2 linked regions of the Cricetulus griseus genome follow. The protein of the gene in region 2 interacts with the protein of the main gene of each other region in a biochemical or structural test. Links are inferred from orthologs where the notes say so. Each region holds a gene or a part of one and is shown on either strand. Other genes may lie near its edges.

What was found. The genes of interacting proteins can lie anywhere in the genome.
Region 1: the proteins of Cysltr2 (region 2) and Magi1 interact in a test that uses a peptide from one of them, tested with the Homo sapiens proteins (2 studies listed by IntAct, with this or other methods). The link is inferred for Cricetulus griseus from reciprocal best matches to the Homo sapiens genes CYSLTR2 and MAGI1.

What each region holds. Positions count from the first base shown.
Region 1 is NC_048601.1:50,130,252-50,133,903, forward strand, and holds part of Magi1 (membrane-associated guanylate kinase, WW and PDZ domain-containing protein 1), read left to right. Parts: intron 1-139; coding exon 140-332; intron 333-2,431; coding exon 2,432-2,725; intron 2,726-3,652. UniProt on the Homo sapiens protein: Plays a role in coupling actin fibers to cell junctions in endothelial cells, via its interaction with AMOTL2 and CDH5. May regulate acid-induced ASIC3 currents by modulating its expression at the cell surface.
Region 2 is NW_023276807.1:227,541,676-227,545,904, reverse strand, and holds the start of Cysltr2 (cysteinyl leukotriene receptor 2), read left to right. Parts: upstream 1-1,317; 5' UTR 1,318-1,686; intron 1,687-4,229. UniProt on the Homo sapiens protein: Receptor for cysteinyl leukotrienes. The response is mediated via a G-protein that activates a phosphatidylinositol-calcium second messenger system.

The DNA.
Region 1 (3,652 bases), on a different chromosome or scaffold from region 2:
TGGGTGCTCAATAACTGTTTGTGGCATGCATGTGGATATGAATGAATGAACTGAATTATTTCTAGAGATGTACGGGCCATCAGTCTTGATAGTAAAACCAACAGGACAATGTTTCATCCATCATCTAATTACTCGACAGATTTATATCGGTCACATCGTACCACTGGGTGCTGCTGACACAGACGGCCGCCTGAGGTCTGGAGATGAATTAATCTGTGTGGATGGGACACCAGTAATTGGAAAATCACACCAGCTTGTGGTCCAGCTTATGCAACAAGCTGCTAAGCAAGGCCATGTCAATCTCACAGTGAGGCGTAAAGTGGTGTTTGCTGGTATGTTTTTCATTCATTCCTTCAGACTATGCTCTGTCCCTCTCATGTCTGCCTCCTCGAGCTTCTATTTTAGCAAATGTTTGCAAATGTGATCAAGCTTAGAATTTCCAGATGGTTTGCTTCTCTCCAGCTCTGCAAAAGTGCTGTCATTCAGAGATACTTTAATATGCTATTTGCATATGCTCTAAAAAAACTTCCAGAAGAATGCCAGTTGAATATACATCTCCTGCCTCCTGCCCCCTCACCAACCAGAATGTAGCCTTCCTCTTCACTGATGATAATCCTCAATCGAAGGGTCCAGCAGGAGCTTGAGAAAAGGTCAGCTCCACAGTCAAAGAGCAGAACTTGAGTTTGGAAGGCAGAATGAGCTTGCTCTTCCTGACACAGCACCTTGCTGTGGCTTCACTGACAAAGCTGGAGAGCAAGCCAGTTCTGTGTTGGCTCTGGTTCCTCTGAAGTTCTCAAAATACCCTTTCAGGCTCCACTCAAGAAGAGCCTTGCTCCAAAGGCTTTCGGGTTCTAGCACCCTCTTCCTGCTGTGCCTGTGGCTCAGAGTGGTTACGTGTGTGCTCTTTTCTGAAAGCACGTGTCTTTATTCACCTTTGCATACAGCCTCTACTCAAAGCCTATACAACAGAATCCAGAGGAGGAAGATGACCTGTTGTGTCACTGAATTACTGAAGAAGTATGATGTGAAAGCCTATGAGTTCTCTCTAGCCTTGATACTAGTGTAGCAAATAGCTACCAGATAAAATTAACTGGGCACTTAAAAAAAATAAAAAATAAAAAACTAATGTAGCTTATTTTAAGTGATATAGAATTGAAGGATGACGTTATTAAATTCCAGTATAAAAATCTAATGGTAGTCAATTGAAAACAGTCCTAATCCACAACAGATTATATCCTTAGCACTCATCCCTGTCTCCCCCCCCCCAAATAAAATTCTTAGCATGGCATTCCATGCAGCCAGTGGTAGTCAGCTGGTTTGCTTTTGGTTTTGAGATGATTTGAAAACTATTTGATTTCCCTGTCTTAAAGTAGTAAGGTGATGTAATTTTACTTGGCTGTTTCGGTTCTATTTGAAGGACTTAAGTGTTTGGGGTATTCAGCAAGTTAGTCCTGTGCAAACATTATATTAGATAGGCAGACAGCAAGAGGAATGGGCACTGACAAGCGCTGGTAAGAGGGGCAAACAGAGTTGCCATTTAATGGTGAAAGTTTCACTTGTGGAAGTTGATAATTCTAGCAATGGATGTTGGTGACACTTACATAACAGTGTGAATACACCTATGCCCCTGAGTTACATGTAAGAACCGTGAAGTCATTCAATTTATGTTTCCCACAATTAAAAATAACTATGAAAGTAAAAACTTTGTGGAATAAATATAATCATAGCCACAACCCACCATAGTACATAATGGTTTTGATGCACCTGGTTCCACCTAAGGTGTGGACTATCTAAGAATGCTGTGCCCTACTAGCTGACAAGGCAGTAAGACTGGAAGGAAGAATGCCTAAAGTTGGGAGGAAGCTAATGCCTCTATCTCTGTGATTGTAACAGATATTTACAGCTGGGAGCTGGGGAGAGCAATTACGAGTACCTCCCACGAGGTTCTCATGAGTCCATCTATGACTACCCCTAGCAGTCTCCTACCTAATGAGAAAGTCAACCTTGAACAAAAATGTATCTGGGGGGAGGGGGAAAGATGATGAATAAGTAAGCCTATGAAGCTAGGATGGCAGCCTTCACTGGTATAGCTCACACCAAAGTCTGCTCACAGTTCCTTCCTACATAGGAGAAAGGTCATAACTGGATGTTGCTGTAGATGGATGGCATTGTGGGTTGTTTCATCGTACTGTCTCCTACATGCTATTTAGGGTTCTTCCTTGGGGGTCAATGTGCCATCAGCCTTCCTGGAGACAGACTATTATATTAATGTTTCCACAGCAAGGCTGCTTTCCACGCCTGTGTTGCAGTTGTCTGAGACACGATGCCCTCATTAGCATCTTGGTTTCTTTACAGGTGGGGAAGGTGGAAGTGGTGGCTGGGCCTATTTTCCAGGAATTTCAAATGGTTTAGACACACATCTCTCTTGCAGTCCCCAAAGCAGAGAATGAGGTGCCCTCTCCAGCTTCATCGCACCACAGTAGCAACCAGCCTGCTTCTCTGACAGAAGAGAAGCGCACACCGCAGGGCAGCCAGAACTCGCTGAACACTGTGAGCTCTGGCAGCGGCAGCACCAGCGGCATCGGCAGTGGCGGTGGTGGCGGCAGCGGCGTGGTGAGCGCTGTGCTGCAGCCCTATGATGTGGAAATTCGACGTGGGGAGAACGAGGGCTTTGGATTCGTCATCGTGTCCTCCGTGAGCAGGCCTGAAGCGGGCACGACCTTTGGTGAGTGCTAGAAGGTACAGGCTGGGCTTTCTTCTACCAGGAGGCTTCAGTAGTTAAGGATATTTGCTACTCTCGAAGAGGAGCTGGGCTTAGCTCCCAACAGAAATTCCTTAATGTTTTTTCACTTTAGATATTTGTTGGGCCTCCCCTGAAGCCCCTTTTTGGCTTTAGCTTTCTAAATGTACGCATACGATTTCTGTACACATAAGATTTATGTCAAATTTGAATAGCAGCCCCTTGGTATTGTAATAGATTATACTTTTTTTTTTTTTTTTTTGCCAGAGAAAGACTTCAGAAAGTTACTGAGTAGATGATATCATTAGTAGCAATGGCCTCAGAAAGTCATAAGGATTTTAAAAGCAGCAGTTGTTCATAAGAATACCTAGGAAAAGTAGAGATGCAAAAAGTCAAAAATGACCTGTGATACTCCCACAGCTCATGCAGGTCCCTTATCCCTACCTGAATACTGTTGAAGTTTTAAATGCTATTTTATTGTTGCTTCAGAAACTGGCTAGACTCTGAGATAAGAGTCATTTGATTTGGGGTCTTATCCAGGTCTTGGATTTCAGTCAAGTATGGATAATGTTTCATAACCTTCTGCAAGTATTAATTTTCTCCTGAGTGCATACATAAAGGTGAATAGGAACCCAGACTATTCTAAGAACACAGCCGAGTCCATGAGTCTCTTTCCTGTTAAAATGGATATGCACCCTACTTCCTGATTCAGTTCCTTGTCATCTCTCAAGCACATTGGAAGGTGATAAGAGATAGAAAGGGTTATTATACAAGCTTCAAATTTTATCTCAAATGACTTAACCCCATTGGACCTCATGGCCAGTGGTCTAGGTCACTCATTGGCTTATGTTAACAAGGGGCTACATGTCCTTAACATTTTGATCCTGTAGTACCCACGCTGTCTCCAGTTAG
Region 2 (4,229 bases):
TTCTCTTCTATCAGGCTCAGTATATGTGAATTTTGTGCAGGGTGATAAAAGTGTGGACCCTGTTTGGATCTGTAGCCATCCAGTTTGACCGGCACCATTCATTAAAGATGTTGTCTTTTCCCCCATTATATTTATGACTTCTTCATCCAAAATAAGGTATCCATAAGTGTGTGGATTTATGTCTGCATCTTCAGTTTGATTCCATTAATCAACATGTATACTTTTATGCCAATACCATATTGTTTATTTTACTATAGCTCTGTAGTACAGTTTGAGGAGGTTGAGAATAATGACACCTGCAGTAGTTGTTTTATTATTCAGGATTGTTTTAGCTATTCTGGTGTGTGTGTGTGTGTGTGTGTGTGTGTGTGTGTGTGTGTGTGTGTGTTTCCATATAAAGCAAAAATTGCCCTATCAAGATTTTTGAATTGTGTTGAAATTTTGATTATGATTGCACTGAATCTGCAGATTGGTTTTGGCAAGATGGATATTTTTACTGTATTAATCCTACTGATTGGTGAGAATGGGAGATCTTCCCATCTTCAATTTTTTTCTTCAGTGTTTTAAAGCTCTTATCACACAAGTCTTCCACTTGTCTGGTTAGAGTTATGCCAAGATATTTTATATTATTTGAGATGATTGTGAAAGGTGTTGTTTCCCTGATTTCTTTCTCAGTCCATCTGTCACTTGTATATAGGAAGGCAGGGTCCCAGGGATTGCTGGCTCAAGTTGGAGGTTGAGCTAACAGGAGTAGTGTGTGTGTGTGTGTGTGTGTGTGTGTGTGTGTGTGTGTGTGTGTGTGTGTGTGTGTGTGTAGGTAGGTAGGAGGAGAAGAACTGCATGATGGGAATGAAGAAGCCAGAGAGGCTGAATCAGGAGGTGAAATACAGAACGGGGGATGAAACTGGGAATTTCTCATTCAAGCAGTCCAGGAGGCAAAGGAGAATCAGGCTGAAAGTTGGGAAAAAAGCCAGGTGGATTGAGAAATATGGTGACAGAGTTTCCACAGTTAACTGTTCAAGCAAGAGTAACACATTACAGGAGCAATGAGACCAGTGGCGGCCTTCACAGAGACTTTTTAGCAGAGTGAGTAAGGCCTTTGCCAGAGTGCACGGGAAAGCCAGAGGGTAGTGAAAGTGCTTTATCTAAAGCTGTCGGCAGGGCTGAGTGTGAAAAGCGGAGTTGATGGGCTTGTCATGGAAACAGAAACCCTTTCGGAAATAAAAGCCACTTAACTCCCCCCCTCCCCCCCCCCCCCCCGCCCATCACATCTGATTAAAAGAAAAAAGAAAGAAAGGAAGGAAGGAAGGAAGGAAGGAAGGAAGGAAGGAAGGAAGAAAGGTAAGAAGAAAAGAAAAGAAATCCCAACAACAAAAACATCAAGAGTCATTAGAGGACGATAATTCCAGGGTGACTTGGTACGATGGTCACTAGCTGGAAATTCTCTGCCTTCCAAAGAAGGAAGCCAGCATTCATTCCCACGATCCTGCCACCAAGCTGAGGACCTGCTGACCCAAGTTCCTTCTTTTCTTGCTATTGGCTAACACTGTTCATAAAACAGAGTTGGCCGTTTCACTCTTGCTTTAAATGAACAAGCTGCATCGTATGGGGAGACAGCCAGGAGAGAGGGCAGAGTCGGAAGGCAGGGCAAGCGGGAGGAGGCCGGGCGCAGAAGGAAGCACACAGGTGGGTTGTACCGTTTGTTCATTTGTCACTCAGAATTGTGCTTTGATGGCTCCTACAGGAATGACGTGTGGAATGTAAGCTTAATTTGTTCAACTATCAGTTCTACCACATATGTTTTTTTGTTTTTGTTTTTGGCTTGTGCATATGATTTTAGCTTCCTTTCATAGCTGCATCTGTAAAATACAAACACGTTTATGTTCACTCCTTCCAGTAAACCTTGTGCCTTATCCATGCTGCCATGAATTCTGCAGAGCCACAATTGCGATTGCTATATAAGGCATTGATATTTTCCCTCCTTTGGTCATTTTATCCCATAAGGCTTTTTTTTTTTTCTACTCAAAAGTCTTGCTTTTGGAAGAGGATTGTATTTGAGAAGGTAGATTTCAGTGGTTTTGTTCAGAGGTGCAGTGAACATGAACACGTGTGCTGGAATCGGTTTGTTTTGGAGCACCCATCTTGGTTTTTCAGCTGGGGCTGCACCTCAGTCAGAATTGCCTGCATCTCAGCAGATTAGAGAACAATGCCTCAAACAGCTTAAACCTGGTTTCCTGGTATTAACCAGTCTTTAATGGGTTTTGTTTGCTATTACTTCTCAGTTGTTATTAATAAATGGTCTGTTCTTAAAGAAATGGTTGTTTGAAAAACCTTCTTGTCGATACCACATACCTGAGAGTAATAATGGTGGGGAAATGAGATGCAATTAAAGGCAAGTCTCTCTTTTACTATGTAAGTAATCTAACTTAGAGAGCTAATTTGTGGGGCATATAAGAACTTTAGAAATTTCCGTTGTCTACTTCAACTCCTGAGATTAGAACCTATTTGAAAGCTTCAATTAATTAATGTTTGAAGGAAGTAGATTTGTTTCTATGGCTTGGGAAGGTAGTTGTGGGAGAAGTTGAGGATTTAGAAGGCTCTAAATATGTTAACATTAAGCCCGGTGGGCACTAGTACCTGCCAAGGTAGCCCAACTTCCTTTCTTTGTATAACTTTTCAAAGTCAGTCAAGAGATGGACATTTAATATCTGGCCATTTACAAGCACACCGAAGATACAGCAGGTGGCCAAGACTGATCTAATGGTTCACCCTGCTTTCCAAAAGAAATTATTTTCATTGGACCCCAATGTCCCCCTAAGAATAAAACAGACTGACTTCATATCAAAAGACTGGACAGATAACGGCACCTAAATCAGGCTGAAGCAGTTCTGCCTGTGCTATGAGCTTCCCACAGGCATATACTTGACCTTAATTTGATCAATAGCGTGTCAAACAAATATCTTCTTGTTTTCATCCCATGGAGGAGAGTGTCTGTTTAGCATCTTTGATAAGCACAAGCATTTATGTAGCACTTTACCATATAGAAACATGTTTTCATATGTCTGTTCATTTGACCTGTGGAACAATCTTTATCTATAGAGAGGGTATTTCTCATTTTTGAGATGGCAGAAATGAAGCCCTGGGATTGTAGGATATTTCCCAAGTTAGAACCAAACTGATGAGTCTAGAATATATGGCTACATCCATACAACCCCAATAATAACTATTTTATGAAATTGATTAAATGAATTTTGTTACATCTGTATATTATTATATAGTTAAATGATGGCATTGGCACTATATCACTTAGAAAAAAAAGAGATGACCATGTCTCAGTGGCAAGAAAAAGCAGGATACAAAATAGCATTATAACATGCTCTCTCTCTTTTTTTCAAAATCCTTATCTGTATTTAGAAAAAGAGAAAAAGAAGTGTATGTACAGAATTTTAGACTTGTCTAACTGATAAAACTTGTCATTTCCACAACTCAGCTTAATATCTTTTTGCCACCTTAATTTAATATAGCAATGCAACAAAAACAAAAGTAAACTAAACAGAATTGAATAGAATTGACTGTGTCTGTCTGGTTCACACTCCCGATAAAGTGGCCCCAACTCTTTTTTCCAATTGACTAGAAAGAAGCCTTGTATTCGGTTCTGAGTTTTGCCTATGATTGTTACATGTTGTGTTGTAGTTGTGGCTAATGTGGACAACACACTTGGTATGTCAGGCACAGAGCTGATTGGGCTGCTCTCATCCTCTTCGTTTACTCTCACTCCCTCAGCAGATGAAGGTTTTAAAGTTTAGAGGGGTGAAATGACAGAAAAGCAGAGTTGAGACTTGAAAAATTGAGACTCTATCTACCTGGCACCTGAGAGGACCTCCTCCCTCCACAGGATGGGACTCATTACTCTGGGTCAGCATCAGCTCAGGAATTGTTAATACCCATTACCTTGTGTATTCCAGACCCCAGGATCTGGCCTGCTTTTCTTGTTTGTCCTGAACAGAAGGCATTAAAGACATGCTGGTCCCCAAGAGCAAGCTTATAGAGGAAAAGACTCATAAGGGATAATGCAGCTACCCAGAACTTTGGCTAATGTATCAGCTTGCCTAGGATGCAGGAAGCCTGGGGTTTGATCCCCAGTGCCACATACACTGGGCTTTGGTGGTACATGCTGGTCATCTCACACTGTGGGGGAGGGGCAATCAGGGGTACTAGGTCACATTTGA